Linked DNA regions of Struthio camelus. The protein of the gene in region 3 interacts with the protein of the main gene of each other region in a biochemical or structural test. Links are inferred from orthologs where the notes say so. Each region holds a gene or a part of one and is shown on either strand. Other genes may lie near its edges. The genes, in order: OIP5, MIS18A and MIS18BP1.

The links.
Region 1: the proteins of MIS18BP1 (region 3) and OIP5 form a complex in vitro, tested with the Homo sapiens proteins (2 studies listed by BioGRID). The link is inferred for Struthio camelus from reciprocal best matches to the Homo sapiens genes MIS18BP1 and OIP5.
Region 2: the proteins of MIS18BP1 (region 3) and MIS18A form a complex in vitro, tested with the Homo sapiens proteins (2 studies listed by BioGRID). The link is inferred for Struthio camelus from reciprocal best matches to the Homo sapiens genes MIS18BP1 and MIS18A.

What each region holds. Positions count from the first base shown.
Region 1 is NC_090946.1:41,224,161-41,234,437, reverse strand, and holds the start of OIP5 (protein Mis18-beta), read left to right. Parts: upstream 1-5,576; 5' UTR 5,577-5,591; coding exon 5,592-5,874; intron 5,875-6,108; coding exon 6,109-6,175; intron 6,176-6,756; coding exon 6,757-6,879; intron 6,880-7,431; coding exon 7,432-7,513; intron 7,514-8,377; coding exon 8,378-8,536; 3' UTR 8,537-10,277. Other genes in the region: NUSAP1 (nucleolar and spindle-associated protein 1), read right to left, coding at 1-10, 1,067-1,235, 2,308-2,499, 3,620-3,685, 5,119-5,211. UniProt on the Homo sapiens protein: Required for recruitment of CENPA to centromeres and normal chromosome segregation during mitosis.
Region 2 is NC_090942.1:119,786,344-119,797,471, forward strand, and holds MIS18A (protein Mis18-alpha), read right to left. Parts: upstream 4,001-11,128; 5' UTR 3,986-4,000; coding exon 3,751-3,985; intron 3,627-3,750; coding exon 3,560-3,626; intron 3,204-3,559; coding exon 3,081-3,203; intron 1,851-3,080; coding exon 1,757-1,850; intron 1,041-1,756; coding exon 960-1,040; 3' UTR 206-959; downstream 1-205. UniProt on the Homo sapiens protein: Required for recruitment of CENPA to centromeres and normal chromosome segregation during mitosis.
Region 3 is NC_090946.1:82,888,571-82,898,850, reverse strand, and holds the start of MIS18BP1 (mis18-binding protein 1), read right to left. Parts: upstream 4,983-10,280; 5' UTR 4,951-4,982; coding exon 4,362-4,950; intron 2,713-4,361; coding exon 2,590-2,712; intron 1,515-2,589; coding exon 1,006-1,514; intron 616-1,005; coding exon 539-615; intron 1-538. UniProt on the Homo sapiens protein: Required for recruitment of CENPA to centromeres and normal chromosome segregation during mitosis.

The DNA.
Region 1 (10,277 bases), about 42 Mb from region 3:
AGAGCATCACCTAGGGCAGAGAGGTTAGGCAAGGTGGTTAGGACTACTGGACATTAATTTAGCGTAATTAAAGCCCGTTTTGAAAAGCTACTTGAAACGCAAGAAGCATGCGTTCTAAAGTATATCTCCTCTCCTCAAAGTATCTCTTTCCTTTGAGAAATAAAAGGTCAACTAGAATGAATTTGTCCTCAGTCTTTTGAAAGTCTTTTAAATGGTGTATGTCAATAATGACATGTCTTGGTGAACTACAAGCTTAACGTGAATCTGCAGTTCAAGCTAGGTTATTTTATTTTGAATTATTACTTCTCTTATTTCACATAAATTTATACAAATTAGCAAGAAAACTGCTTGTCACAACTTTAAATGCAGAGAAGATCTTTAACTGCTTAATAAGCTAGCAATTTTTAAATTTTGATACCTGACAGAACAAACACTTTTTAGCAAACTTTTCAGCTGCTGCCTTAAATATACACAGAGTAGAGTTCTTTTTATCATTTCTGCCCTCAGGTCAGCTTCTGTTTAATCTTGTCTCTACCTATGTTTTTAAGTATAGTATTAAATTTATTTTCTTATTTAGTACTTAATTGTATTTCATTTTAAAAAGTCAACTACAGACTTCAGATTGAGTTCAGTAAGTAGGAAAAGAAAGATGAAGTGCGAGGAAGAAAGTTCTCCATTTCTTGCCTCGTTCCAAAGGGGCTGAGTAGCGTATCAGTGGTATTCCTAAAGGCACTGATCCTAAACAAGGTGCAAGACTCAAATACGCTCAGATCTTTGAGAACTCCTTCACTAAAACCAATCAACAACAGGACCGCAGTTCTCAAGTCAAATCCAGCAGAACGGCTATACTGCTGACTGTGTGAACTTGCTTTACAATACGATAAGCAAACAAGTACATAAGCCTAAATTACACAGATTCTGTTCAAGTATCCTTACTCAAGTACTGTTGGTCCATCAGATCACCAGACATTCCACAAAAATCTTTGTGGACACAATCAAATGCACTTTTTGATTATTTTAATTAGTACGAATGACTAAACTTACTCTGTTGGAAGTTTTTACTTACATTCCACTCCACTTCTCTTAGTGGAAATCTTCTCTGGTTGCTCTTTCTGCCCCATACCCATCGCTGGATTCTCTATAGCTCTCTTTTTAGTTACTGATTTATCGTTTTGGAATACTTTCTGTCCCTTTTCATGCTGTGGCACTTTGTTTTCTTTCATTTCTGAATGCTCCTGTGGTTTAAACATACTTCGGTTAGGCAGATTTTTTCAACTGGACATAAGGAAAACATTTTCCACAGGACAGACAAGAGATTTTCTGAAATCCAACCTGAATTATAAAGCACTTTAATATTAAATTGATTTTGTTGGCAAAACATAAATTCACTGACCATGTCACTTTTTACTACTGTAGCTGTGGTTACTGTAGGCTTTTGCTTACTCAGACATTTTGAGAAATTTTCACCTAAAAAATGATTTCTCTTATTCTCATTCTTCCACCTTTACACCAGTAAAAGTCTTTCATAAAGTTCTGTCTTAGTTCTCCCTCTACTTGCATGTGATTTTAGAGGGGAGAAGAAAAAAGTTTTATCCCCACCTCACCTTGAAAACCTCCTCTCCCTCAGTCATACAACCAATACATATTAAAAAGAAAAAAGGGGGGGGGGGGGGGGGAGAGAGGAGAAAACAACCAGCCGAACACACCAAGACACTCGCCCCACATACTTTGAAATTGAGAGGAATGGGAAACCTCCAGCCCACCAGAGCAATTAATCTGCCTTGTAGTTAGTCTGTCTCTATGTATAGTTCTTCAGAAAATAATCTAAGAGTTACCTTTTAATAGAAAAAGGAATTCATATGAAAAGGCAATCACAGAGTTTCTGTGAATTTTTACTATACAGGAAAGTGAAAACAGCCTGATTTTAGATAAGTTTCAAAACTTGCCTAACAATCTCGTGAATACTATGATGAACCAATGAAAATAGTCTTATATTCTGATAAAATAATTTGAATGATACAGTCTTTATTTGATCTTTTTCTTCAATAATATTCCCTCCCCCCCAAAAAAATGTACAAAAAGAACAAATTATATGTTCATTTTGGAGTAGTGTATAGTCAAATTGGACAAAAACAGAGCTATAAAGCACAGAAGACCAATAACACTAGTAGGTCTGCATACCAAAAAGTGAATGTTACCTGTTAAACACTGGTAAAATGAATCAACTCCGTTTAACTTATGCTTCACTACATGTGTTTAGCGGAGGGAGGACGGGGCAGACACTCAAACCCAAGAAACGTAAATCACCTCTTTCTCAGCAGAATGCCCTGTATTGTCTTCACTGCTGTTAGTTTCCTCATTGGAATTGTTTTTTTTTCTGGTTGCTTTCTTTTCTTTTCCACGCCTTTTTGTGATAAAACACACTGGATCAGGCATAAGTTCCTCCTGACTGTTCTGTTCATCCAATTCGATGGAAGCAGATGCACTTTCTTCAGAGTCCTATATCAGATAAGTATCATCATATGAAACATATCTGACATATACTACAAAGAGACAGCCTCAGCGTTATTATCGGAAAAGGCGTGGTCTTTAGTAGCACAGCAATGAATGAGTGATATCTAGGTTTCCTTAAATAGCAAGCTGATTATTGGAAGACTGAGACAGAAAACCTACAGTTGTTTCATTATATGCACAATATTCTACAAAGACATTTAAAAAAACCTAATAGTTTATATTGGAAATTTGACTTGCATGATGCTGTGATCTGCCAAGTTTTTACATTCCTATGGAATAACCTTAAAAAAAAAAAGAGAGAGATACAACAACAGCATTCTTCCACACTTATCATACCAGACTGTAATCAGATGTTGGAAAAATATGTAATATATTCAAGTTGTTACTCATGCGTCGAAGCTTGATAAAATTAAAAATAAACTGACAAGGATTACACAAGCTCTCCATATTTTAAAAGAAGCAGATTATAAAGGAAGCATTTAAAATATATGGTGTGTTTTAAATAGATTCTAATTTACTTTTGTCAAAAAATGTATAAACATTCCATACTCAATGAAATACTTACAAAAGGGAAAGCTTTAGGAAAAAAAAAAAAAAATCAAGAAAATAACATATTAAGAGATGATTAAAGGAAAGGTTCTCTTCTCTTATAACATCAGTAAGTAAACTGTAGTAAATGGAGAATGCTTTGAGATGAATACCCAGTCCCTCCCTCATCTAGGCATTTTTATATTTAGTATTGACTAGCACTTGGAGCTAAAGAGGCAAAAATTAAGATTTGGTCAATGGAAATTGAAGTGTTAGCGTTCACAGGGGATAATTTTGTGCTTACACTGAAAAAATACACTGCTGTTTTTGGCATGAGGGGGTGGGGGGAAAAAATAAAAAAAATCAGCCTTCAGTCATACACACAACCACTTTAAAGCTAATATCAACACATCTATTTCAATCAGTATGCAAGTATACTGAACACTGTTTAAAAAAAATATATTTTTTGTTACAGTTTGCACCATGTTAAATGCGACATTCACTACATGCCATACTTTACTAGTTACAAAGTTAGATTTATCTTTCTTAAAGAGAATAGCTAATTTCTCATTATTACCATATTTTCATTTTCTTGTTTTGCTCCATGAAAATGTTGCTTCAGTGCTTTCAACAATTTGTCTGCCTGCAGAGAAATCAAAACATATGAACTAAAGATTATATTAAGTCATCAGACACTTGCACAAACCCTATAAGCACCCTAAAAATCAGTCCAAACTAGCAAAGCACTTGCTGAATCCAATAAAATAGAACTCTTAAAGCATGCTTGAAGCCTCATTAAAGTCAGTCAGATTTGAGAACATACTTAAGGCCCAGGCTAAATATGTAGCATACAAAGAGAGATTTCCCCGACCAGATTTCTTCTGGTCTAGCTATTGTCCAGAAAGGTCGATTGTTCTAGGATAAAAGAAACTATTTCAGCAGCCTAACTGAATGCTAATAACATTGCACCCAACTTCTCTAATAACTTTTTCCCATTTCACACAATACTATATGGAAAGCATTCTCCTCATCCCTTCTGTATATTCACATAGAATAATAATAAAAAAAGACACACCATCGATGTTTTAATCTATGAATAAAAGACTTTAACTGGAAAGGTCAGCATAAAATCAGTTCTGAACTAGAAGTTACACACAAAGTAACAGAGAACCAAAACCCCAAGCAGAAGCCTCAGTCCTGTGAGGACAATTAATCCTTGATCCAAATTACCACATAAGTGGTGCATCTGGGGTTTCCCTCTGTCTGTTTTTAAAGGCTGTACGCCTTCTCGCACTGGTGGTGCGGGTCTGACTTCTGCTGAGGGATTTACCAGCGGTACCTGCCAAGATCAGGCCAGGCTGGGTCACTGTCATATACCCGTAGGGCCCTAGGCAAAACAGATGGGCACATGCTTTAACTCCTTGTTCTTAATTCCTATCGGTAAGTAAAAAATAATCACTCTCGACCCTTCAGGCTCCCCGTGGTTACCACTCTTCCCAGCCCCAGTCGGATGAAACGCCCGCGTCGGCGGGTACGGCCGGCGCGGCGGGGGCAGCGCGGGCACGGCGGGGCTCCACGCGCCAGCGCAGCCCGGACGCGGGGCGGTCGGGGGCCCGGGAAGAAGGGAGCCCCGCCTTCTCAGCTTCGTCTACAGTCTCACGCCCCTAACTGAAGGCGGTAAGGAACGCTTAAGCGTCAAACTATCAAACTGCCGGCTCCACGCCCCAGGCCCGAGCCGCGCCTCTGCCGACACCACCTCCAGACCGCAGGTTTTCTCATCGCAGCGGCCGAAAGCAGAACAACGACCGCGGGGCCGCCGGGGGCACTCGACCCCCACGACGCCCGCCCGCCCGCCCACACTCCCGCCGCTCCCGCTCGGCTCCGCCGGGCCCCTCGCTCCCCCCGGCGCCGCCCTAGAGCTCCCGGCCGAGCGCAGGGGCAGCGCCGGAGGCGAGCCGAGCCGAGCCGAGCCGAGCCGAGCCCGCCCGCCAGAGCGGGCAGCCCGGAGCTCCCGCCAGCCCCGCGCCGCGGCGCCGCTCGCTGCATCGCGGCCGGGCAGCCGCCGCGCCGCCTCACCCGGAGGTTGGCCTTCAGGCCGGCGGCCTTCGCTATCCGCTGGAGCTCGATGTACTTCAGCGAGTCCAGCTGCTGCAACGAAGAGAGCGCCATGGCGGCGCGACCACCGCCCGCCGGCAAGCCCCAACCGCCGCCTTTCGAATCTCGCGCTCAACTGACACGGCGCCTTGCCCCGCCCCCGCCGTTCGAACTGGCCCGCCGCGCCCTCCCACTGGCTGATCGGAGCGAAGGGGACGGGCCCGCGGGCAAGGTAACCACCAATAGCGGCCCGGCCACAGGGATCGTGTTTGTTTCAAAGGCGATAGGCGCTCCCGGTAAGGGGAAACCCTGCCCCCGCCTGCCTGATTGCCCAATGGTCTCAGGCGAGGAGGATTGACTTGTCTCTCGCCCAGTGGCAACGCAGAGCTGTGTCCCACGCTCCAATGGGGAGGCCGAGAAGGCGGGTGCCGCTCTCGAACGCAGGGCGGGAGAAGATGGCGGTGAGGCGGCGGCTGCAGGAGCTGTTCCAGGACCCGCAGCTCGGCGGGGTCATCACCGTGGAGCGGCCGCCGCCGCCCCCCCCCGCACCGGCGCGGGTCCAGCCGCCGCCGGCCCAGCCGCCGCCGGCTGCGGGCTCGGCGGAGGCGGCGCGGCGGCGGAGGCTGCGGCCGGAGGAGTGGGCGGTGTTCCAGTGCCGCGGCTGCCGGGCCGTGCTGGGGGACTCGCTGCACCTGTGCGCGCAGGAGGAGCGGCGCCTCGGGCTTCTCGCCTGCTTCAGTCAGTGCTGCCGGGGCCGGGGCTGCGGAGCGAGGGGTGTCCGGGCTGGCGGGACAGGGCCATAAGCTTTTACTAATGCAGGTTTTAATACCGGAGCGGAAACTTCCAGCCCCGCGTTAGAAAGAGGCCCGTTGTGCGCCTCGGCGGGGCTCTGCGTCGCCTGCCGTGCTGGGGGGCGCTGGGGCGACCGGCCGTTGCTCTGGGGTTGTTCACTGGCTCTGCCTTTCTTCGTAGAAGTCACAAATGAGGTTGCTTGGGAAGAGTCGCTAATGATCGGCCTTGAAGGAGCCCTCCTAGGCTGGTAGGTAACGGACGTACCTCTTGCTTTTGACATCAAGTTTTAGTCATCAGATGAAATAGGTGGACCAAAATAGGCCTCCCCAAAGTCAGAGGGAAAGAGTTCCTGCACGTTTTCTAGCTGGGGCACTGAGATGTCTCGTGGAATTGATAAAGTCCTAAGTGATTTTTGGACCTGTACTTCATAACTTTGAACTGAAAATTCTTTTGTATATGTGTAGCTTTAATTCTTATCAAAATCAGAAGAAGTTTTGTCAGCATTTACCCTTGTTAACGGAGAGAGAGGAATGTTTGAGCAATGCAGTAAAAGGTAGCCTATAGCCTTTTACCCTTTTTTTTCCTCCTGCTCCTGCCTTTTAAGCATATATCATCTAAATTAATATATAAATTATATATTTTATTTATATAAAATATAAATTTTATATATACGAGCATATATATAACACATATATAGAAAAGTAATATTATGCACTTTGTTTGCTCTTCTGGTAAAACTAATAACCTGATGTCCTCTGATTAGCAGGCAGTATCTATGGTTTCAGAAGCTTCTGTTTAAACATACTATTTTCCCCTTTCTCCTTTCAGCACTTTCAATGCATTATCCTGTCGTTCATGTGGCTTGATTGTGGGCTTCATTCTGTATTCTACTTTCAGTGATCTGGCTTATCTCCGAGGCTTCTTCTGTTTCTTCAAGGACAGCATCCTCTGGTGAATATGCTGTTTTTTTTAATGGTAAATGACTTCACAGGAGTTTGTAAGTGATTCTGTTTTAATCAGATAGTTAGTTATTAGTATAATTAATCTACAGCTAACAGAAGCTGTTTTACTTTTGAATGCATTGGTGCATGGGTTTTAATATTCTTTCTATTTAAATTGCTCATGTTGGCACAATTCCATTTGATTTGGCTTACATTTTTAAGTATCCTCATGTAATTTCAAGGATTAAATTTAAGTGCTTGCAGTATGAGATCAACTTTACTTCCAGATCCACTTAAGTAACGTATCAAAACGGTTCTGTGCTAGATTGAAGACTTGATTATAGAAACTATAAATTACTTTTAGTTGATGATGAGAGATCTTATGATTTGAAAGTAAAACTATTGTTATGTTTTAAATATTTTCATAATATATTGACTACTTTTGACAGCAGTTATACGATCTCCTTAAAATCATCTTAAATAGTCTGTCTAAACAATTAATACAACCATGTTTTTTAAAACTGTTTTTCTTGTCTTTCCCCTTTCCCTGCTTGTCTTCCAGTTATCTCTTAAAAACTAAAATGATAATAGAAGCCTCTAAGGTAAATTTTCCTGCTTTGAGCCTAAAGGAAGAACTCGGAAAAGTAAGGTTCTACATGACTTTGTATGTAAAATGCAAAAAATGCCAAATTTTTTTTTAGAGATCAGTCCAAAAATATTGTTTTTTTTTTTTTTTGCTTGTTTGTTTTTAAGTGCAGATGATGTAGAAGATATTGGATTGTAATGTAGCTATGATACACGTGCGGAACATACAAAACATTTTCCGTAACAACTTATCTGCAAAACATAAAAAGTTCTAGCTAACTTTCTGACAAGTGTGTTACCCTGTAATGAGTATGTATATTTTTGTGGTACCTGAATGTCATCAAGAGAGAAGAAGGGATTTTTCTGCCTCTTGAAAAGAGAAACCCAGAGAAATCTATACTTCATTTTTATGTGTTTGTCATCTGTTTCCTCACTCCCTTCTTTATGCTCCCTTCAAAGCACATACGCTATCCTGAGTGAAACGTAACATAACAGATGAGTATATTTAGGTGTACCCCTAAGCAAAGATGAAACAGTCTGTCCAGATCTTGTCAAAATAGGTCTCTGGCTTTGTAAAAGTTGTAATGAGTTAACCGGGAAATGTTATGTTGGTCATACTAAGGCTTCAGCAGCTCTGGCTGCTTACTTAAGTGGAAAATTTCCATGCATCCCTGAAAGGGCTTCTGCTGACACACATTCATCTTATATGTGTAACGGAAGCTTCTGATTTGGGTGCTAGTTTTGGCTGTACTAAGCATAGGGTATAGAGATATGTCGTATTAGACACTAGTGATACAACAGAGTCCAGTTTCATTTTCCATCTTGAAAGTCAGCTGCTTTTTAACTACTTAAAGTGGGGTACACATCTTGCAAGGACCTGATGTTAGGACAATGGTATTTTTTTTTATTTATCTTTTTTCTAGCTAAAAGAAAAACTTGTGGTGGTCCACATGCGCCTAGAATTGCTGATGAAGAAGCTAGAGGAATTGAACCAACAGAATAACGTGGCAGAAAAGCAGAGCACTGCATCAGATGCAGCTGGTCTCATGCCAGGATATGCAGTAGTCAAGATGAACAAATAATATGCCTTTTTAAAAGAACTACTGGAGTCGTTTCTACATCTCTGCGGGGTTTGTTCATTATGATGAAACAATGCACAAAAAAAGGTCAGAGACTTAATCTTTTACTTTATGTGCGTATAGAAAGAACTTATGCTAAAGTGCATCTCTTCAATCTAGGGGGACCATCCTGAAGCTATGCTGTGAAAAATTAATAGCTCACCCATGCAGCACAGTACTCTCTGAGGCAGCAGACCCACGGCTGTGGTTCTCCCAACAACTTTAGGGGAAAAAAGCAGCCTTCAGAAAGCTGAACTCAGCTTTTAGGGACTATATGAAACATACTAATAAGGTGATACACAAGAGGAGCCATTATTAATTAAACCTTCTTACAGAGGTCTACAATTTTTTGTCTTACCTTTTCATATAGTTACAATGTTTACGGTAGCTAGTTGTTGATCAAGAGGCTTGTTAGCTGCATCAGGTATGAGAGGCACTGCTAAATGGTGTCCTGATAGTTCTTTTTTACTTAGGTATGTGGCCTGCAAAAGAGGCCAGCTAGCATGTCATAGAAGCTGCACGGCATGCTCAAAGCATGGGAATGGAAGGCACGTTGCTGCTTGGAGCACAAGGTTTTGCATTACAAATTCAAGCACAATTCAAGTGCCTGCCAAGTCCTCTGGAAGAGCAACTCCATGGCTGCACTGAGCTGGGTCAGATTCCGTCTGCTTTGTCAACCTCAGACCGTGGGCAACTGCTTTTAATAGATTTGAGCCCATCTCTGGGGTTGAAGCCATGAAACCAAGGAATGCTCTTTTCTCCTCCCTTCCTTTCTGCTCAGTCATGGGAACACCGCTCTGCTGAAGCTGTGATAGTCCACCTGCTGCCTTCCCTTGGCCAGTCAAGATGTTTCACAAAAAAATAGCCGAAGGGTACTCATCAGCGTTTCTGTTAGTTTTGAATAGGTTCTGCTCCTCTCCAAACATCTAGAAACTCATTTGATGGAGAGGAAAGAATGCTACTTATCCCTTCTTATTGCGACAGAACATCTTAGTCCTTAATTCCCATTAGCTGGAAGATTAAGGGTCCTTTTCTTCTCCCTCCTGCTGCCTAAAAGTTTGATGTTTTAAAGCTTCCATTAAGCTTAATGACTGCCTGTAATACTCTAGAGAGGAATGTATTTACTTGATTGACTTAATTCTGGTGATGTGATTTGCCCTCCTCTACTTCTGTTTCCACATATGAATGGCAGATTGTAGCATGGTCTCAGTTGTTTTGATGTATTTGTAAAATAACTGTTATAATTGACTGGAGGGGATGAAACTCACTGCAAGGCACCCCAGGAGTTTAGACGGGCAACTGGTTGGTACTTATCCTGCTACTTATGTACAATGTAACCAATGCTTTTTGGTTAATGGTTCTGGGTGCTCTCGAAGTTTGTTCGAATTGAGTTATAACATAAAATATCAACAGCTGTTCTGCTGGAAGAGGAGCTCGTCTCCCTCAGTTAAATTATAATATTATATGCTACCTGAATTACTATTATTGCTTGTTTAGGTCACTGACAGACATGAGTGCAGAAAAGCAGTGCTTTTCAATTACAGCTAAATTCAAGATATCAAAAGTAACTACTTGAAGTAAATATTACACTTTTGTAAGATCTGTTTCATTGTCTGTAATGATAAACGTTTTCCTCTCTAAAAAGAGCTCTAGAACCCTTATCCAGGGAGCTGTGCTTTTTAGAGTTGTCATTGTATGTTCATGT
Region 2 (11,128 bases), on a different chromosome or scaffold from region 3:
GAGGCCAAAACAAATGCTACTTCAAACCAAAACAGTAGATAGGGAAAAGAAGATAGATACTTTTTTGGGGGGCTGTTTATCAGTGGCTGAAGAACAAGGGAAAACACATTACAGGTTTTAGGACAAAACTTAAGAACGCAAGAGTAAAATTAAATCATGTTGAGTAATAGAAAAAACCCTTTTCAAAATGATTCTCACCTTAGACTATTGTTTTCCTTGTTTTATTGAAAAAAATCACTTGCAACATATACATTTAGGAAATCCTGATAGTTAGACAAATACAGATTTAGTAGATCCAAATCAAATAGAGATATCTACACTGAAACAAAATTTTGACAAGTGTTCTTAATTTATGTTTTCAGTTCATCATTTAAACATACACCAAGCTTTGCTTAAAGGTGTACAGCTATCAGTCTTGTTTATTTTCCTCCTCTTGAAGCTCTGTTATGCATATAATCTTCTTTACAATTATACATTTTAGCTTTGAGCTGGCAGAAAGCAGTTGTGTTGTTCTTGTCCAGGAAGAAAAGGCTGTGAAGATAAGATGGCAGAAGAGACTTACGTTGCTTCTTCAACAAAAGTCACAGGTTTTTATTGCCTTAGGGAAGATAAGCAAACCCAGTTCAGTGAACAGTGGATAGCTAGGAAACCAGGAGAGAAATATTTTGCTTTCACATAAAAGTTTAAATATTTACATATAAACAGAAAGTCTTCACAAAGCAGTTTAAAAAAAAAAGAGACAAAACCCCCTATTTCCCTTTCTGGGGTACTCTTATCAGAGGAGAGCAACTTCTTGCCTATGGTGAAGACTTTCAGTCAGGCTTGCTCTATTGCAGTATGAGCCACCTGAGTCTTAGCTCTTTGCACGGCTTTCACAATGTTCCTGTAGATTCCAGAGGATTACAGGTGCAAGATTCATTACATCATTCTCCAGCAGTTAATTTAGATGCAGAAGTTTTTCAGACATTATTATGAAGAGAAGCAAAACTTGATTCAACTACAGTCAGCCTCGCCTCCAGTGCCTTTAGTATGGTGTCTGCCTATAAAGTAAATAAGGAAAGATACTTGGTACTTCACAAAACAAAGAGCAAGCACTTTCTGACATGTATGCTAGAAGTCAATCATGTGTTATCAATCCTATTGGATTCTTTTCCCACTATCTGCACAGTCTAAAAGTTCAGTCAATTCTAATATGACCTCTCAGCACTCTCTAGAGTCTGCTATAGCTGTCCTCTCACTTTGAAGCAAGAATTCCACACATTCAGCTTCTGCTATACAAATGGCAGCTTTCAGGGCTAATCTGGTTATCGTATGTGCTCTCAGCTCTCCCTATCCACAGTCAGGAGACTTCTAGAGGAAAGTATCCACTCATATTTATTATGCAATACTTCAATACAGAACAGCAGCAAAAGCAGTGAATCCGTTTACATGAAGGATAGGATTCTACAGAAAAAATTTGATTAAATCAGTCTTTAAAAAAAAAACTGGAGAAGCAAAACAAAGCTACAAGAGGCAAGCAATGGTTCAGACTTCTGACAGAGATAGGAATCTATAGCTGTATTTGACAAATAGAAATGCTTCTTAAAATTATAATCAAAGTCTTACCTAACACAAAATACTAACAGCATGAGTGTCACAGAGTACAGTAAAAATGCACAGAATTGGGTCCAATTGAGACTATAGCTTGTTTTGTAGAAACTAAGGATATGAAGATTCATCTGAGGTACACAACAAGCGATGTAAGATTAAACCTTACCCTTTCTAGTGCTTCTTCCAAAACAGCTCGACTCTCAAGAGTTACAGGCTCCTCATCAGTAAGAGCTTGCTTTTCCGAGGATCCTAGAACGTAACTGATATGCTACAGTTTAGATCATGCACTTTCTGCTCTGAATGCAAAAACAAACATAACTCATTCATTGTTCTCAGTGATTACAAGACTATGATTAATAAGTTACCAAAGCAAGAGCATGATTCAGCAACAAAATCCATACTTAGAATCTTGCAAACAAACTATAAAATGGAATTAAAGCAATTTTAAGCTCAGAACTACTAAGATACCATCACTGTATAACAGTTGGAACTCCAAAAGACAATCATGAGTTCTGATGCTACAGCGTAAGGTGAAGAGTTATTCCAACATTGAGGAGACTGTTGTACTAGCCGGAACAACCAGTCATCACCATTATTGCCTACCCTCCCACGCCCCAAAAAGACATTTTGGGACCATGGTACAATCTTTCAGAGAGCTTTACTGCCATGGAAGAGGCAAAGCAAAAACCCACCATTGCCTGAAAGAGGGAAGAGAACATCAATACAGATGCAACAAAATACACTGGAACTTAATAAAAAGCAGAAATGCTAAACTTAGTCCCAGGGAGAAATAAAGGTGAATTATCCAAACATTAACAAAGTAAGAGCAATAGAAGCACCCCGGTACGTAGACTTAAAGTATTCACTAACTTCATCCTGAATTAAGACCTGCTTCAAGTGCAATAAACCAAATAAAACCAATACAACGGCACATCTTCAGTTTCTAGACAATCGAGTATAAAAAAGTTTGTGCACCGTAAGAGAACTGCAGAACAGATACTAAGAACCTCAATTACACAATGAGTGTCAGGATTCACTTTCACCTTTTTTCACACCTAGACAGGTTAAATTCTACTTCAGGCCCTGTGCCTATCTTTTCTTCTGATAATACTTACTTCTAGTAGCTTTAAGTTAGGCCTATTCAGTACTATTTGAGAGAATAAGGTAGTTTTATGCCAGCTGGAGTAGAGCATCTACATACTCTTTTGATCAGACTAGAAGTAACGCCCATATTGCTTACCTAGTGTTACTTCTGTGCTTGGTATGCAGTTTCTTATACAAGAGAAGACCCTGGTATTTCTATTTTTCTAATGTTTTTTTCTAGTATTACACAGATGACATTTCTATGACTTCAACAGTACAATGCTGGCAGCAGTAACACAAAAAATTACCCTGGAAAGAGATAACTACCTCTAGATATTCCAGTAAAACTAACAGCAGCAATCCATATAAATGATACCTAGAGGCATCCCTAAAAATGCTACCTTTACCTTTCAATGGAGTCAACACTGAAGCAGAACAAGTCTCTCTTGTAGTCAAGATGCTTTGGTGTGCACCTGTAGACATTGCCAAGTATCATTGAGCAGCCAGAGCAGGACAAAGTTTCAACCATGCTGTAAGGAAAACATACAGCATTTATTCAAAGGGGAGGGGGCTTTCCCCACACCTATTCAAAAACAATTCACCTGCTTGTGATCTTCAGAGGATTCACTCTCAAATGCCACACTGTAACTACGAACATTTATCTTCCAGCCAAGGTTCCCAAAGCAGACCCTCAGCCCGATGACCTCAGCAAGACTAAGAGGTAAACTTTAGACAGGCCACCTGGAGGAGCTGCTCTAGGCCAAGGCCCCCCGGCCTTCCTCAGGGACGGCGGGGTGGCAGCACCCGACGAGCCGCTCACCGGGCCCCTCCTCGGCACCTTCCCCCGCCCCGAGCCGCCCACCCCCGCCGCGACACCGGGCCTCACCATCCGCACTCGCCGGGCCGCTTGGAGAGCTTCTGCTCCTTGTCCACCGAGACGCTGGCAGACGCATCTGCGCGCAGGTGGGGAGGGAAGAGGGACCAGCGGTCACCAACGGCCGCCCCCAACGGCCGCCGCCTCGCGCGCGCGGCGGGGGGGGGGGGGGGGGGGGAGGGAGGGGGCAGGGCAGGACTCACTGCGCAGCAGGATGCAGCCCGCCTCCTCGTCGTTGGTCACCCAGCTCAGCGTGTCGCCCACCGGCCGCTTGCAGCCGGCGCACAGGAACACCATGGGCAGCAGGTCCTCGTCCGCCCCGCGGCCGCCCGGCCCCGCCTCGGCCGCCGCCTCCCGCGCGCCGTCCGCCTCCAGCAGCGACAGGGAGGAGTCGGGCCCCGCCGCGGCGCCCGGCGGCGCGTACAGCGCGCCCGCCATCGCCTTCAAGCGGCCCGCGCCGGAAGCGGCAGTGACGCCGCCCCAAGAGCCGAGGCGGCCGCCCCGCCCCCGCCCCCGCCCCCCACCCTCCCCGGCTCCCGCCCCGCCCGCGCGTGAACCCCGCCCACACGGCGCCCCGCATGCGCGGCCCCGCCCTCTCCCCCTGGGCGCGCTCAGGCAGCCCCCACCCCCACCGCCGCCCTGTTGCGGCCGTTGGCGCCGCTAACGGTCGCGGCGGGCGGCTGGCGGGCGGTCGTCGCCGTTGCTGCTGCCCTCAGCTAGCCAGGCCTGCTGTCCTCGGCCTCAAGATACGTCGAGAGGCACGTTGGGAGGGGCCTGAATGCTCTAGTGACGGGGAGGCGAAGCAAAAAGGCTTGCTGCGGGTTTGGAAGGCCGCTGGTTTTGTCCAGTCTGCCGCATTTTGTTGCTCGCGGTTCAAGTGATGCCCCAGTGTGCTCCCCACTGTAGAGGGGTGCCGAGAGGCCCGATGTGCCTCCGTGCCGCCCGCCAATCCAGGGACTGGGCCTGGGTGAGCAGCCCTGACTTGCCTAGCCCTGACTTACCCTGTAGCTTTTAGGAATGCAGGTAAAAGTTCACTGAGGATCTGTTTCTCTTTTAAAGTGAGAAATTTTGCTAACTTTGATGAAGCAAGTATACGTGTGTGTTTGCGTAGACACTGACAGTGCCGTGGGCCGAATGCACAGGGCAGTTCGACTACCTTTGTCTTGACTGGGAGACTATTTCTCCATCCATTGCTTTTGGGTGGGGGAGGGGAATAAAAAAGTGCCAAAGCAAAATATATGGTTATTTCAATACATTCTTTATATCAGAAGTATTTTACCAGTTCTTACCTGCTTTTTAGGTCAGCGGAAATTCAGAAATTTCTTTCAGCTCAGCTATTTTCAGTGGGTCCAGAATATGTTTCCTTGTTGCTAGTTTCTCCCATGGTTGGAACGCAGTTGGCCTGTGTCCATGCCATTCTTAGTTTACTTTATATCCATCTCAGTTAAAATATTCTGAGGAATAACATAATTGCCCGCCAGGAAGAGAGGATTGTATTTAAAGGCTGCTGTTACATATCTGTCCTACATTAATGTTCCTTTCTGCTAAATGTTTTTTATTATCAAGGCAGTCCTTGAGCTGCAGGACTCCAGAGTGATTTACATAGGCATCAGTTATGCAATCTCTTTCTGAGGGCGCTGAAGTACAATGAAGCAAAGTATTTGGTTGGAGTTCTGAGCTGATTTAAAATGCACTACTGAAATGGCTAACAGAACAAACTCATCGGAGTATTTTTGGTCTTATGAATATTATTGGGATTATATAGATCCAATTCCAGTAGATGGAAGGAAGTTGAAGGTTAATAAATGTAAGTATTGTAGAGTGGTAGATGCTGATCTACTACAGGAAAAATGAGTTGGCAAAATATTGCATAGTCTCTCTGACTTACTTTTTTCCTTGTAATAGATACCATGCTAGCTTATTTGTACGTGGTTTGAATGGATGAGTGTCTGTGTTCCAAACTATCTTAACTTACGTACTGATAGCAATTTCTACTTATACTGAAGCTATTTGATTTATTTTACGGTATTTCAAACTGTAAGACTGCTGACATTAACTCTGATTTAGAGGACGGATTTTTTTTTTTTTGACCATTTGCTAAGTAGAGATCTAATGACATGCAAATCAGTATTTTGGGGTGTTCTTTATCTGCATGCTACCATCAGAAAAGATGACGGAATGAACAGATTTGTTCATAAGACTATAGTGTTTTCCTCTTGGAACATAAAGCTTATGCTAGAACTGATTTAAACACCGTTAGAGCCTTGATAAGAGAATAAGTTTATGCTTTCACCAGCCAGGAACAGCAAACTGAAAACATATTCTATTACTTTTTTCCCTTTGAGCTTTTATTTGGCATCCATCTCTAAGCAATCCTATTGATTTTTGTACTAAACCAAAAATAATGTATGAGAAAAGCTATGATTTAGTACTCCTGAACTGTAAGACAATGTAATAATACACATTATTGTCCACATACATTATGATCATGGAAACAGACTCTGCGGGTTTTAAAAGTTTATTTTCAATGGATATGAAATAACATTCACCGAATCCAGTCATATTAACAAAGTATCGGACTGTTAATTCTGTTGCATGCTTGGTTTTACACAAGGACATAGTGATGTCTTTTTTGGTTACTTAACAGGGAAGGTCGATTTCTTTCCTCTTGTAATTGCATTGGTTTGATTTTGATAAGATAAAATGACAATTCATGTCATGAGGGATTAATGTAACCCAATATAATTGGACAGAGTTACAATGATCTAGGGAGAGCGGGCAGGCATATCTGAGTCACTCAGGCTATAGGCAGTATCTCCCTCCCATTTCTGCCAAGTCTCTATCTATGGTATCCATCAAACAGCTATGGACATTGCTGGTTGCTATGTAGTTTACCAAAGACTCTGATTACCCAGGTGTGGTTTCACGGACCAAAATAGCTTTGAACAAGGTCATTACAGTGATCTAGTCTGTAAGGAGTACAGGATACTCTGCCAGAACATTGTCATGTCTTTGTAATTAACAGTGCCAGAAACTGCCTTGTTGACAGTGAAGACTGAACCGGACAGTACAGGAACGACCGTTCATACCATCCACTTGGGGCATCTAGCTTAGGTGCCTGTGCTGGTAGCTTGGTGTCTTTGACCTTGCTGTATCGTCAGCGGAAACACTTATTTCACGTTGCCTGTGGAAAAGCTCTGTTTCCACTGAAAGGATATGTGGCAAGGGACACATCTGGCAAGGGGTGTCAAGGACAACAAGAAGGGGTTCTTCAAATACATCAATAGCAAAAGGAAGACTAGGGAAAATGTGGGCCCGCTGCTGAATGGGGCGGGTGCCCTGATAACAAAGGATATAGAGAAGGCAGAGTTATTGAATGCCGCCTTTGCTTCAGTCTTTACTGCTGAGGCCATTCCTCAGGAATTCCAGACCCTGGGGACAAGAGAGAAGTCTGGAGAAGGGAAGACTCTCCTTGGTTGAGGAGGATCAGGTTAGAGATCATTTAGGCAAGCTTGACATCCACAAATCCATGGGCCCCGATGGGATGCACCCCTGAGTGCTGAGGGAGCTAGCGGATGTCATTGCTAGGCCACTCTCCATCATCTTTGAAAGGTCATGGCAATCAGGAGAGGTGACTGAGGACTGGAAGAAAGCCAATGTCACTCCAGCCTTCAAAAAGGACAAGAAGGAGGAGCCAAGGAGCTAAAGGCCAGTCAGCCTCACCTCCATCCCTGGAAAGGTGATGGAGCAGCTCATCCGGGAGACCATTTCCAAGCACATGAAGGACAAGAAGGTGATCAGGAGTAGTCAGCATGGATTCACCAAAGGGAAATCATGCTTGACCAACCGTATAGCCTTCTGCGATGGGATGACTGGCTGGGTAGATGAGGGGAGAGCAGTGGATGTTGTCTCCCTGGACTTCAGCAAGGCTTTTGACACTGTCTCGCATCACATCCTCGTAGGCAAGCTCAGGAAGTGAGAGCTGGATGAGTGGACAGTGAGGTGGACTGAGAACTGGCTGGGTGGCAGAGCTCAGAGGGTTGTGGTCAGTGGTGCAGAGTCTAGTTGGAGGCCTGTAGCTAGGGGTCAGTCCTGGGTCCAGTCTTGTTCAGTGTATTCATCAGTGACCTGGATGAAGGGACAGAGGGCCTCCTCAGCAGGTTTGCTGATGATACTAAACTGGGAGGAGTGGCTGACACACCAGAAGGCTGTGCTGCCATTCAGAGGGACCTGGGCAGGCTGGGAGAGGTGGGCGGAGAGGAACCTCCTGAAATTCAACAAAGGCAAGTGCAGGGTCCTGCACCTGGGGAGGAATAACCCCAGGCACCAGGACTGATTGGGGGCTGACCTGCTGGAGAGCAGCTCTGTGGAGAAGCACCTGGGAGCCCTGGCGGACAACAAGTTAAGCATGAGCCAGCCATGTGCCCCTGTGGCCAAGAAAGCCAATGGTATCCTGGGGTGCATGAGGAAGAGTGCTGCCAGCAGGTGGAGGGAGGTGATCCTCTGCCTCTACTCAGCCCTGGTGAGGCCTCACCTGGAGTACTGTGTCCAGTTCTGGGCTCCCCAGTACAAGAGAGACATGGCGCTACTGGAGAGAGTCCAGCGGAGGGCTACAAAAATATTTAGGGGACTGGAGCGTCTCTCCTCTGAGGAAAGGCTGAGAGAGCTGGGCCTCTTCAGCCTGGAGAAGAGAAGACTGAGAGGTGACCTCATCAACGTGTACAAGTGTCTGAAGGGGGAGTGTCAAGAGGATGGGGCCAGACTCTTCTCCGTGGTGCCCAGCGACAGGACGAGAGGCAACGGGCACAAACTGAACCATGGGAAGTTCGCTCTGTGAGGGAACAGAGCACTGGTGCAGTTGTGCAGTCTCCTTCCCTGGACATATTCAAAAGCCGTCTGGACACAATCCTGGGTAATGTGCTGTAGGTGACCCTACTTGAGCAGGGGGTTGGACTAGATGATCTCCAGAGGTCCCTTCCAACCTCAACCATTCTGTGATTCTGTGATTCTATGATATGTTGCCTCCAAACTTAGGAACCTACAGTAAGATGCCTTAGAGAAGGTGGTATAAATATCCACCCCTGTCCATGTGTAAAATCTGCTCTTGAATGCTGAATAGAGCAACATCTGGTGCTGTTGGGAACAGGCAAGTTTTGAGCAGCTTTACACCACTTCCCTAATTGTCTTAATTTTAAAGATGGCAGGGCAGATAGTTGCCCCCTAATTCCACCAGGGGAACTCTGAACTGCTGAGTTAAGCTAGCTGCATGCTGTTGGCTTCTCACAAAGAGGGCTCGGGAATCTGACCTTTCACTTTTTTTCCCAGTAATAGAATCTTTCTTACATTTGGATTCCCTGATATCTAATAGGGGTGGAGTTTGTGTTAAAGCATTTCCCTCCGTGGCCATTTATAGGATATTTCTGTCTACCCAGCTGCCTGTTTTCTTGAAACTGTTAGAAATCATATTTCTGTGAGAAAATGTTCCCTCTCTGTTAAATTTAATTGATATTTACTAATAGTTCCATGGAGGAAATTCCCACATGTACATAGTGCATGCACACACAGTGATGTCATAAGCCTTATTTCCCTAAGAAAGTAGAATATACCAGTCTCTTGTTGATTTTTTTCTGTATTTGCTTTCTCTTCTTCCCCTAAAGAAGGAGAGAAGTCTACCTTCTTTCAGACCTTTTTATTTTCTAAAGAGGTTACTTATGTGATCATACTTTGTGTTTATGCATCTAATCTGCTCCTCCAACAACTTTAGCTTGTTTATCTGCTAACAAAGGAGTGGGAGCCTCAAAGATGTAAAACATCCACAAGTTCTGTGCAGCAGGTGGTTAGATAGAGGAGGAAGAACATTGCTGGCAAAGACCTTTACTGACAAAAAGGCTGCAGGGTGAGCACATCCCCTGTTAGACACCAAGGAAACCACCTTTGGGCTCAGATTTGGGAAACAAATCTGCAGGAAACCAGACTTCTGTGCTTCAGCTGCTCATCTCCCGAGCAAAGAACAACAATAAAGATGCAAGAATAGGGTTCAAGATTTTTTTCCCCCCCTCCTCAGCAGGGTACTGTTAAGGCAATCTGTGTCCCCTGGGGCTGCAGTTTGTGTAACATATTTCTAGGCAGCTTGTTAAAATAGAGTTTTGCTCCATGATTTATGTCTTTTAAAAAACCCACATTGGCTATATTAAATGCTCAGCTAAAAATGTTGGGCTTGGTTTTCTGATAATTAGGGAAGTGAAACTGTTTTTTTTTTTTTTTGCTTCATATAAAAATAGACATTTTTCCATGTCAGCAGTCTAGGAGGAATGGAGGCTGTGCCATCTTAGTACATTTTTTCTTCCTTCTCCAAATGCCAATGGGGAACAGTGATTTCAAGTTATAAAGAAAACACTAAGAGAATTGATTCCATAGTTGGTTAGTTTGCTTACTTGCTTTAAATACAAAGACTAGTCAGGTAAAGAATTTACTTTGTAGATTTTCCTGTATTTATATAAAATTTATATTTTTACACTTTCACAAGCCACTGTTACTGTCTTCTTGTGCTTGGAACTATGTAAACAAAGTATTTTCAGCAAGTCCTTGCCCTGTGTGCTGAAGATGAACTGTGATAATTTCCCCTTAGACAGAGGCTTAGATAGCCACAAACATTCCAAGTTTGGCAAAATGTTTGATATCTCCAGGGCTAAAACAACTGCTGAATTGAAGTTCCAGAGGGCCTCTGCCAGACTGAGTGCAAAGGGGTTTCAGCTTTTGTTTAGGGGTATTGCTGACTTGGCCCAAATAAATCATACATTCATCAGAACCCCTTATATGGCTCCTTAATTCAATTTTGCCTGATTTTTTTTGTCCTGAATCTCTGCACTTTCTGTTATGTGGCCTGTCCCTGAAACATTGTAAGACTGTGTTCTTATCATGAAAATGAATCTAATTCCAGCTATAAAGTCATGTTGCTTGCTTTCTATTAATAGCATTGAGCAGCTCCATCCATTTTGTGTAAAAATAATAAAAAGTGAAATCAGCCCATGAACTCATAGGCTATTTAAACACACACACACACACACACACACACACACACACACACACACACACACACACACACACACACACACACACACACACACACACACAAGTTCAGCAATAGAAAAGTTTTTTTTAAATAGATTGTTAAAATACATTATCTCACTTTAAAAAATTGTTAATTGTAAGACTGTAAAAACAGCCAGGAAGTTTCTGTTTAATCCCTCAAGAGTTCAAACTCCCCTCAAGAATTCAAACTCCCCTTGAGATCTGTAGCAGTTTTAGTTAGCTTCTGTGAATTCTATGAATGATAATAAAGGTGCTCTTAAAAATAAACCAAAATTACTTCAGTTTGGCATAAATCTAGACTCTTCATTTCTGTCCGCATACCTTTGAGCACTTCAAAACTGTGCTTTTCAAACTGTCTTTGGATCACGAGCACCATTTTTTCTTGCAGAAGTCTCCTAATCCTTCCTTGAGGAGTTGGGACTGGCCAGTAGCCTCCAGTCCCTTTTTCCCATAATAATTCTGTGATGGGTGAGTCAAAATACTAGCTCT
Region 3 (10,280 bases):
CTATAACACCACTTTATATTTACAAAAGACTTAAGTCCCACGAAGGTGCAGCTCCATGGCCACCGAAGGCTGTTTAAATTACGACTACCACGGTTCCTTCCCCCTCAACCACACTCCTCAACCTCCAGCTGTTCAGTTTCTCATCCCCCCTTGCACCAGGTCTGCCAGTCTGCAGACCCTGAAGCGAATCAGTTCAGCTTGCCAAGTCAGCAGATAGACAGCTTAGCTTCAAAAAAATAATAAAATTGTAAGAGCTGTCAGTGCTGACACAAGGGCTAGGAGGTGAACAAATGGCCATGTTCCCTGGGGCTAGGAGAAGAAAGCAGCAGAACTGTGACAACCCTAACTTATATAATCCTATGGTCTTGTAGAATGATTTCTAATAGGTACCATGATATTCCAATAAACACAAGTCTCAAAACCACAGATATTCAATGAGATGAAGATGCTAAACTTTATAGCTTCTATAGTTCAGATTCTGAAAAAGACAACCAACATGTTTTACATTGCATTTAAACCTCAAATAATTTTCTCTTACTTCCGTTTTCCTTCAACACATACTGCAGTGTTACCGCTGATCACTTTAATTCTCCAACTCGTTAGGCAGATTTTTTTCTGTGATAAAAAAATTAAAGACATATCATTTTTTAAAAATTAGATTAAGCTACCGCCATGACATTATCAAAATAGAAATTAAAAATTCTTGCGTATCTTGAAAAAGTTTCCAGGCACAACCCTCCAGACCAGAGAAATTAAAAATAACTATTAAACACACTTATGGAGAAGCATAATGAAACCAGAAGCTAACGTGCAAGCGAAGTCACGAATTTAAATTATAAAAATGCTCCGAGTAATTTAATGTTGACTTTTAGAAGACAAAGTCATTGTCCAAGACTTCTAGCAAGTCTAAACCAAAGCAAAACCAAAAACCACTGCTGTGAGCTACAAGCAGCCTACAGGAAGTTTTAGCATATCTAATGCCCCTAGAATAGTAAGTTCTCCCACCTCTTTGTTTCCCTTGCCAGCCATTGTATCTGTATGAGATGTATCCAAAGGGACCTTAGAGCCTTCTTTTTGTTTTTGCTTCCTTGGTATGTGGACTTTAGGAGAAGAGAGCATAATACTACATAAGCATTGTGAGGGTTTTTGAGAATTAGTCTCCAGTAGCTTTTCTCCTCCACGAGCAGCTTGTTGATTACTTGTCCGCAACTGTCTTCTTTCTTGATGAACGTTAGTACATTTTGTTTCTCCATGTCCACACCTTTCTTCTAACTGATCCTCACTTTCAGAAGGGGGGGAATTTCCATTCACAGTATTAGTCATTGTATTTTGAGACATTTCATCATCAGCATCAATTGATTCCATGAGGAAATTATCCTGATTATCCTTATTAGCGGCCACATACTCTGTATTAGCATTGTTGAGCTGCTCAGTAAAAGCAGATTTGACTAATGGCTTTTCTGCAGCTGCGGAAGGAGGAACATTTTCCTTGACTGAGTTTGAAAACGTTGGATCTGCACATAAAAAACAAACCAACCCCAAAAAACACAGAGCAATTAAAGATACCGGAAGAACAGTAAAAATATACTTATACAATTTAATTCCACTTTAATATGAGTAAATTGCTATTGATTAACATACTATAACAACTCCAAAAACACTGCCTATTTCAACTGTTAACAGAAAGCCATTTCTCTGGATTTGTTTGAACTAGCTTTTCCCCATCACGAGTGCCATATTCCTGCTACCGAAGACTGTTTTAACCATTCCCCTTTCCCCAAAAACTATGCTAATGCACACCACTCCTATTAATACTAAAGCTTTGCCGTTCTTCCTACTCTTTTTTAAAATGAATCTTCCCCGAAGAGCAAAAAGCAGAATGTTTTCACAAAAAAAAACCCTAAGTCTAGAATATTTCCTTTTTCCCAGATGTCAATATTTGACTTCTAATCACGTTGCTGCTATACTGGGAGCTACAAGCACCGTTTTTTGAGCGTTCAGCTAATTAAAGTTCAGTTTTTAAAGTGGAACACCACTAAGATTTTGGCATGGATCTTTTTCTCTTCATTTGCCTATTACGGGCAGAATTATAGGAGGACAGAAGTGTTCACAAGGTTATCATCAAGGGGAAAACAAACAAACAAAGAAATACAAAGGAACTTCTCATGGAACTAAATCTTTTCACTTTATGTATTAAAAGCTAGGGGATAAAAAGAACCAGTAATAAGAGGTTTAGTATTTTTCCACCTAATTCCCATCCAAATACTAAAATGTTACATTTAGTCTCTAAAGAGCTCTTAATCACAACACCAGGAGCCCAGAGTTAAAAGACAGTCAGGGGACATAGTGTACTCAGAAGGACTAATTGCTTCAGGGTCAGCAGCCAATAGTCCTAATCCAAAGTTTAAACGTCTAATGTCATCTCCAGGTCCCAAGACAGACTTGCAGGTCTCTCGCTGTTTTCAGCTGTGCACAGACTACAGTGGAAGAGGAAGAATGATACTCTGACAAAGCACACAAGCTATTACAAAACGGAAACCCTCAACTCAAGGAAGTTTTGGAAATGTTATTAAGAGCAACATCAACTACCTTTCTGCTGCTGCAATTTCTGTTTCACGCGCAAGAAGAACTTATGGGGAGATTCCAGTACAAAAGGGTCTACTGCTAACAATTTAGCAGTTCTGTTTTGAGGAATCCGGGTGCAAGGTAATTCTGGAAAAAAAAAAAACCCTCTGAATTTGTGAAGAAAAATATTTATTTTCATGCAAGGGAAGAAAAAAAGCAAAATACATATTTCATAAGATACTAAACTCCAGTATACTAACTATTTGTTCAGGAAATATCTGTCCTGAGAAGGATGAGCAATAAGACCTTTCCCTTTTCACAGCAAACTAGCCATCATGTTGCATCAGCTGCTGCACATGAAAAAACACACCCTCAAAATCCCATGTATGTACACATGCCATGGTTGTAACCTAACCCAGAGGAGTCGGAAAGTATATACAAAAGGGATATTTCTTTGTATTAAGGTGTAACACCTAAGACTTTTGCTTACTGTGAAAACAGCAGCTTAATCTCGTTTTTATCATATCCAATAAGGATAGTAAAAGTAACAAGGGGTTTAAGTTGCAGCAAGGAGATTTAGGAAGACTTTTTAAAATCTAATCATAAAAGTAGGGAAATAAAATCTCCCTAATAGCATGTTCTTTCGAGAACAGACCAGATGCACCCCCAGTGAGAACAGCTAACTTGCAGCAGACACTGCTACTGGCCAGATAAAGCAGACGGACCACTCAGCTTACTTTTCTGCAATTACGCTTTAAAACAAACACTGACAAACCAGATAGGAACCTCCTGTAGAAAACTTTTATCCAGGTTTGGGTCAGGGGGTTGAGACCTAAGTACTGCACTTCAAAAAAAAGCCTCCCATCCAAATAGTTCATGACTATTTCTGCATCATACGATACACAGCAGGTGTTAGAAGTATAGGCTTTTTTTTTTTTTTAAACTAAAATAAGACTAAATGTTCCATTCCCAATGCTGCAGCATCACAGGAATATATGCAGCAAGGAAGCATAACCTTTGTGATGAAATACTCAATATTTCCACGGGTCTCCCATTCTGGATGATTACAGTACGGGAACAGCTGGGCACCACCACAAGACACCTTCCCTCTGCAAAATACCTCTAATACCTTTACAGCTCTGTTGTGAGACAAAAGGAAGACCTTCCTGCTGGCCTACAGCAGCTAGCGTACCTTCCTTGGGAAGGGGCGCAGTGCTTGCAAGCTCGTGTTACATCGAGTAGTCAGAATTGGAAAATACATTGAAAAAGCTGTTGGAACAGGGAGGCAAGCGGATTTCCCTAGGGTCTCAAAAACAAGACAACGCTCCTGCCAACCTCTCCCCTTTCTACACTGGCTGCAGGAAGCAATGAGAGTCATCTCTTGCTTTACTTACAAAGCGTAATTCTCTGCTTTACCAACTGCTGCTAAGTGTCAATCCCATCCCCACACACAGCAAGAAAAATTAAAAGCCAGACTGAGTAAGAAAAGGAGAAAAATACCACGGGAGACATTCCTCTAAGGTAAAGGGCGGGGGGAATCAAAGTATGATACAAATATGCTTTAGCACAGAAAAAAACACCATCCAAACATGTTTTTTTTTTTTTTTCCAATTCTGGACAGATCGGGGGGAGGGGGAGTTTTGCCACCAAGAATTTCCCATCTATGAACACACGCTGGAAAAGGGCCGCGATGAACGCGCAGTGCAACTCGCACCTAAACGGATACTAAAGATGAGGCGGGTGTTGTTCATGTGACAGTAAGTAAAGGGTTTCTGGGGGGGTACGGCGGCACAAACCTCTCTCCGGCGGGATGCGTCCCGCGGGCACCTGCCCGGCTCTCTGCCGCCCCTCTGCCGCCGCCGGTTTCGCCTCCCTCCGCCCCTGCCCGGCGGGGTTTTGGGCAGGGCTCAGGATGAAGTCGGGGCGGCCGCTGCCGAGCGGGAGCGCGGCGTCCCGCGGCGGCCGCGACGCCCTGGCCTTCATGCGCTGGAAGACCTTGGCGGGCGACTCGTGGGCCGGCGGCTCGCCCGCCCGCCGCTTCAGCAGCGCCGGGGCCCGCGGCGGCTCGGCGCAGGCCAGCGGCGGCGGCAGCCCCGCCTCGGGCTCGGGGCCGCCCCAGATCTCGCTGAGCTCCAGCAGGTCCGCGCCGCCGCCGCCCGCCAGCAGCGTGGACTGGAAGACGCCGTCGGCCGCCGGCCACCCGGCGCGGCCCTCGGGCTCGGCGGCGGCCGCCGCCAGCGGGGCCTGGCACCTCAGCAGGTCCTTCAGCGGCGTCAGCGTGCCCGCGGGGATGCTGCTGAGGAACGCCGACTGGAAGGGCATGACGCCCCGGCGGCAGGCGGTGGCCGGGCCGCCCGCGGCGCTTCTGCTGGGCGTAACGATCATCGCCGCTGCCGCGGGGGACCCGCCGCCGCCGCCTCAAGCCCCGCGCGCCGCCGCCGCCGCCGCCTCAGCCGCGCGCTGCCCCCTCGCCTCCCGCCCCCCCCCCCGCGCGCGCCCCGCTCGCCTCAGCCCCGCGCGCCGCTGCCGAGCCCGCCACACAGTTGTTAGAAGATTTGAGCGCGGCCGGCTCGCGCGGATTGGCGGCCAGGGCGGGTAGCGTCACAGTGACGCGAGCGGGGAAGGCGGGAACATAGGCAGTTGGGGGGGGCGGTGTTGGCCGCCGGAAGTTGCAGAGAGCATATTGTGGGGTGGGGCAGTGCCGTATTCCCTCATGTTCCCCCCCCTTCCTCCCCCGCTTCTCCGTACGGGGTGGGTCGGCCCGCCCCCAGCCCTGAGGGGAGGGCGCGCGGCAGTGGAGGAGCCGTTGGCGCTGAGGGGAGGGCGCGCGGCGCCGGAGGAGGAGCCGTTGGCGCTGAGGGGAGGGCGCGCGGCGCCGGTGGAGGAGCCGTTGGCGCTGAGGGGAGGGCGGCGGGGAAACGGCCCGGGCGGGGGATACCGCGGCCGGCGGTACCGCTGCTGCCCCGAAGATACTTGCGCGGCCTTTCGGCCGGGTTGCTAAAGAGCAAACTGTGTACATCAAGGAAATAAGTGATTCCTGCCGTAGCAATCAGCATTACCTGAGCGAGCCAGTGAGGAGAAGGTGGCAAATCTGCGGCCACTTCACAGGTCAGCCCAGGCCGCTTGGAATGGGACGGCGGAATGGAGAGAGGGTGCCCCAATGGTTCCCAAAACTAACCGGCAGTCGTGAGGACCGAGCAGAGGGGAGGAAGGCAGAGCGTAGCCCAGGAGGTCTGTCTAGGCAGAGGCAGCATGCTGTTGTGTTCCTTGCTCTCACCTGTAGGTAAACTAAAAATAGGAAAAAGGAATAAAATGAGTTGAATATCAGATGTTAGCAGTTTTAAGAGTTTTATCTACTTCTAGGTGCTAGCTTGAAAAGTGACACTGAGCTGTAACTGCCTTTAGATTTTCAAAGACAGTGATAAGACCAGTATATAACCCTTAGCTTAAGCAGGATATGCAGTTTCTTACAGCTCTGAAAGTTAGACAAGCTATTGTCTGTGTCTTGGCTAAGAGGTTAAGTGGTCGATTTTCATACTTAAAGTGGGAAAGGAGGGAAGTTATTTGTGTAATGCGTGGAACAGAGATTAGCACTTTTACTCATCAGGCTGGGCTCACCTAGCTAATGAGGGAGCACAGTGAATAGCTTGTAAAATCGGGTGTTTCTGTCATTTAGATTAGCCTAAACAGCTGGACTTGGAAGTTCAGTTTTGGGTACCTCGATGTTCACTATAACTGATCAAATGCCTGTTAGCACATAGTAGCTACATTTAAAAAAAAAACCCGCTTTCTATTTGTGCTGGATATTTTGTGTTCTGTTTGGAATTTTGCAACTTAAATTTTTTTTTGTAATTAAATTTTGTGGGCTTCTTACAGAAATATGTACACTAATTAATGTCCCAGATTATATCACGGACAAAGATTCTGTGCTTGCTTCTACCCTAAATTTCTAAGAATTTATGTGCAGAGGAAAAATAAATATCCAGATACAGAGTTGTCAGTGCTAAGAATCAAAAGTGGGTGTCTGGGGAGTGGGGTCATCACTTACACAGGAAATAGCAAGAAGCTTGTTTTGCAAGAATAGGCTGTTTGGCCTTGAAGTCTCTTGATGAGTAGTTCTTAGTATCTGAGTTATCCCGTTAATGAAGACACACTGTGTTTACTACAGAGATAGGAATCTGTGAGCCAGTGAACTGGGCAAGTACTGCCTAGTACATAGTGGCATGAAGACATTAAAAATGAGAGGCACAGTGCAAGAGTTTTAGAAGAAGGAGGTATTTTGTTGCAGAAGGCACCTTTACAGTCTAAGCTAGCTCTTCTGGATTCTGCAGTCCAGGGAGCCTTGACGCCCTGTACTGTTCATTCTGTGATCATCTGCGGAGCCAGGATCTCCCGGTGAAGTAATTAAGCTGGTAGTGGTGAATGGGAGGGAAGATTAGAGAAAGCAATGGGGAAGATGAAAGAAGGACTTGAAAAAGTTGAAGCAGGAATAGTTTTTTTTTTTAAAAAAAAAAAAAGATATGCTTCCATTTTATGTTTTTACATGTCTGCTTGTGATCTGTATGTGATTGACTGTCCATACAGCTGGCTTGGTCTAACCAAATGTAACACTGGTAAATGCATAGAACAATCTATTTAAAACACTGTGGTGATACCATCTTCCAATGGTTTGTATTGCATATTGCACTGTATTGATTTGGCTCCTCTTAAAAGGCAAAAAACCTGCATGACTTACAGCTTAGTCCTTATCCTTAAGAATATTTTATTGCTGCTAGAGTTCCTTAAATACTTACCAGATGAGCTTTTCCCTAAAAGTAATCAAAAGCAGAGGAAATTTGCTTTTATTTGGTTGTTAGCAGAAGTCATCATACTTTTTCTTCCTTTCAGAAAAAACAGTAGGATCCACAGGAAGTCAAATGGTAGTTTCTTCTTAGTAAAAGATAAGTTTGTAAGATTTGGGCAGTTAGTTTAGAAATCTCTAGATGCTCCTACATATTATAAATGTAGTTAATAGGGTAAAGCAAGTCACCTTTTGTAGATACTAACAAACTCTACTGGAGCTGCCTAAATAACATATCTTGAATACTTTTTAAGCTTATTTTCTGTGTGGTTTTTTTTTAATTCTATAAAGGAGAGAATTGGCTGATTGTATAGAAAAGAAAAAGGAGAGAACTGGTTGATTATATAGAGAAGAAAGAATAATCCAGACTAACTGCAGAAAGCTGTTAAGCTAAAGAGTGAATTAGTTTGCTGATTTTATTTGGCTTGAGTGACTTCAGGTGGTGCCTATAATTGGAATAGCAGCTGTGTGCACAGGAGAGCTGACTCTTGCATGGAGCAGGATACATCTGGAAGTAAGAAGTTCTTTAGCTCAAGGCCACATTTCTAAAGTGAAAGCTACTTTGATAGCCTTACCAGGTCTTTGTGCTTTGGACACAAAAAGAGACAGAAGTATTTTCTTGATTAGAATGACTCCAATTAAATCTCAGCAGTTATAAGAAAAGACCTGAAAAGTCAAGTCCTGACCCTGCAGTTGATTCTCTTTGGGCAGACTTTACCGATAACACTAAAAGTCTCTCTGGAAAAAGGATTCATCATAGGGCAGATCATCATGCCATTATAAAGGGATTTCCAAGATAGTTTTTTTCATACTCATGCCTCTTTTTAGTTTCCATGGAGATGCAGACCAAACTGATGAACTTAGGAGACTGTTTACACGTTTGAGTAGGGTACTTGACCAATGGACTCGCTTCTGTTATGTACCATAGACTCCTTAGAGCTGATCCATAGACCACTAAGATCCTAGGTACCTGTATGGGAAGAAATGCTGTGCATGCCTGAAAAATTCCTAAATGTACTTCTCCTATCTAGTCTCCTGTGGTCTCTTTGGCCACAGCTGGCAAAGCTATTTTGGCTTTGCAAAAAGCAAGCCAAAAGTCTGGATCCTAAGAATGGATGTAAAGTCCAGTAATCTTGGTGCCAGATCTGTAGTTGTGTGGTCAAACTGTGAAAAAGTTTGCGTGGTGTTTGGCTTAGATGTGCATGCTTTCTGACGACTTCTTTTTCTTTTTTTTTTTTTCTTTTTCTTTTCCCAAAATGGGTTTCTCTTTTATATGGGGTCCTTCTAAATAGATAGTAAACAGATCTTGTGGTCAGTGAAGCAATTCTGTGTTGCCATATAGTGATAAGTATAGGGGTGTAAGAATAAGTGTCTGGAGTCCTCTGAGAAGTTCAGTCTTATTTCAGTCTGACAGTCACTCTTTTGTATAATGTTTTTGTCCTGGAGAGATACCTAACACATGAAAGACCAAGGAGACAGCACAGATTCTGTTGTTCTCTGCAACACCTATGAGAGAATGCCAAATGCTCTGCGCTCCAAAAAGAAGGCTCCAATGGGAGAAACAGGGCAAAGTGAGGGAGCTTGTTCAAAATTAAATTTCCATTACTGTATCCTATTTAGCCAAGATAGATTACTGTTGATAATTAAAGAAACGCCTTCTGGCCCTCAGAGTTTCCATTCTGATTCCTATAGTTATTGTGAAACTTTACAAAGAAGCTTAGTCTTTTATTGTTACTTTCCTTTCTGGAGCTATTTTTTCTGATAGCTTGGTAATTAGAATGATCATATCTACACATCTGCCTAACTAACTGTTATGTAACTTAATAGCATCACCCTAACAGCACTTTACTTTTTTTGTTTGTTTATTTCTTAAATGAAAGGCATACTAGCATTTCTGGGAGAAAACTAATTGTTGTCTTAGTTTTCTATACTTTTTATCATAGAGTTTATTCTTCAGATTTTTGTTATCTTAAATCAGTTACTTGTGCAGCTGAAAAAACTACAGCTTCCTTTGTTTGGGGTACAGAACTAAATATTCATACCATTATGTTTCTATACATATATGGATATAAAGGATGGTTTATTACCGACTTTAAGATCTAGAAAATACAGAATGATCTTCATTAAACATGGTTAAACCATTAATTTGTTTGATTTCTGCTGCATATTACTGGGTGATGATATTGCATCTCTAGCCTATGTTTTATTTTCCTGCTCCCTTCCTAGGGTGATCTCAGTGCATTCAACAAATCGGAGCTACAGTAAGGCTGTAAGCTGTAGGATCTTTGCCTCAGCTTATTTCTATTTCCGGAAAGTTGGAAGGTATTCAGTGAACTAATAGTTCTAGAAGACAAAAATGATCTTCTGCTTAGGCAGGCCCATGTTTCCTGGGAGAACTATGTGCTGCCTCCCATCTGCTTTTGACAGAACTCAGCACGTGTCCTAAAGCAGTATTTTCATGGGCAGATTCTTACAAGGAATATTCAGTTTTCTAAGAGCCTGATTATTAAAAATCCGAAATACTTCTGAGATCTGCTAAAGTCAGCTGCAAAGGGCAAAGCTGCAGGAATGGTGTGGTCTTGGGTAACTAAAATGTGGCTACATGTTCATTCACGCCCATGTAACGGGTAGCAACTCATACATTTCTGGTATGCCAGTGCTATTTCTTGGTGTGTGTTTTCATGAATGTTGCAGTGGTGCTGGGAGAACCATATTTATTGTTGGAATTACTGAAGTATGTCTTGCTGAGAAATTTTGGGTTAAGTGGCCCAATTGGTCAGGTATTTCCTTGTATAGCATGATTGTTCTCCATGGCACCAGGAAGCACAGAAAGCCAGAACCCGATGAGCATGCATTAGCAGACAACCTGTCACGC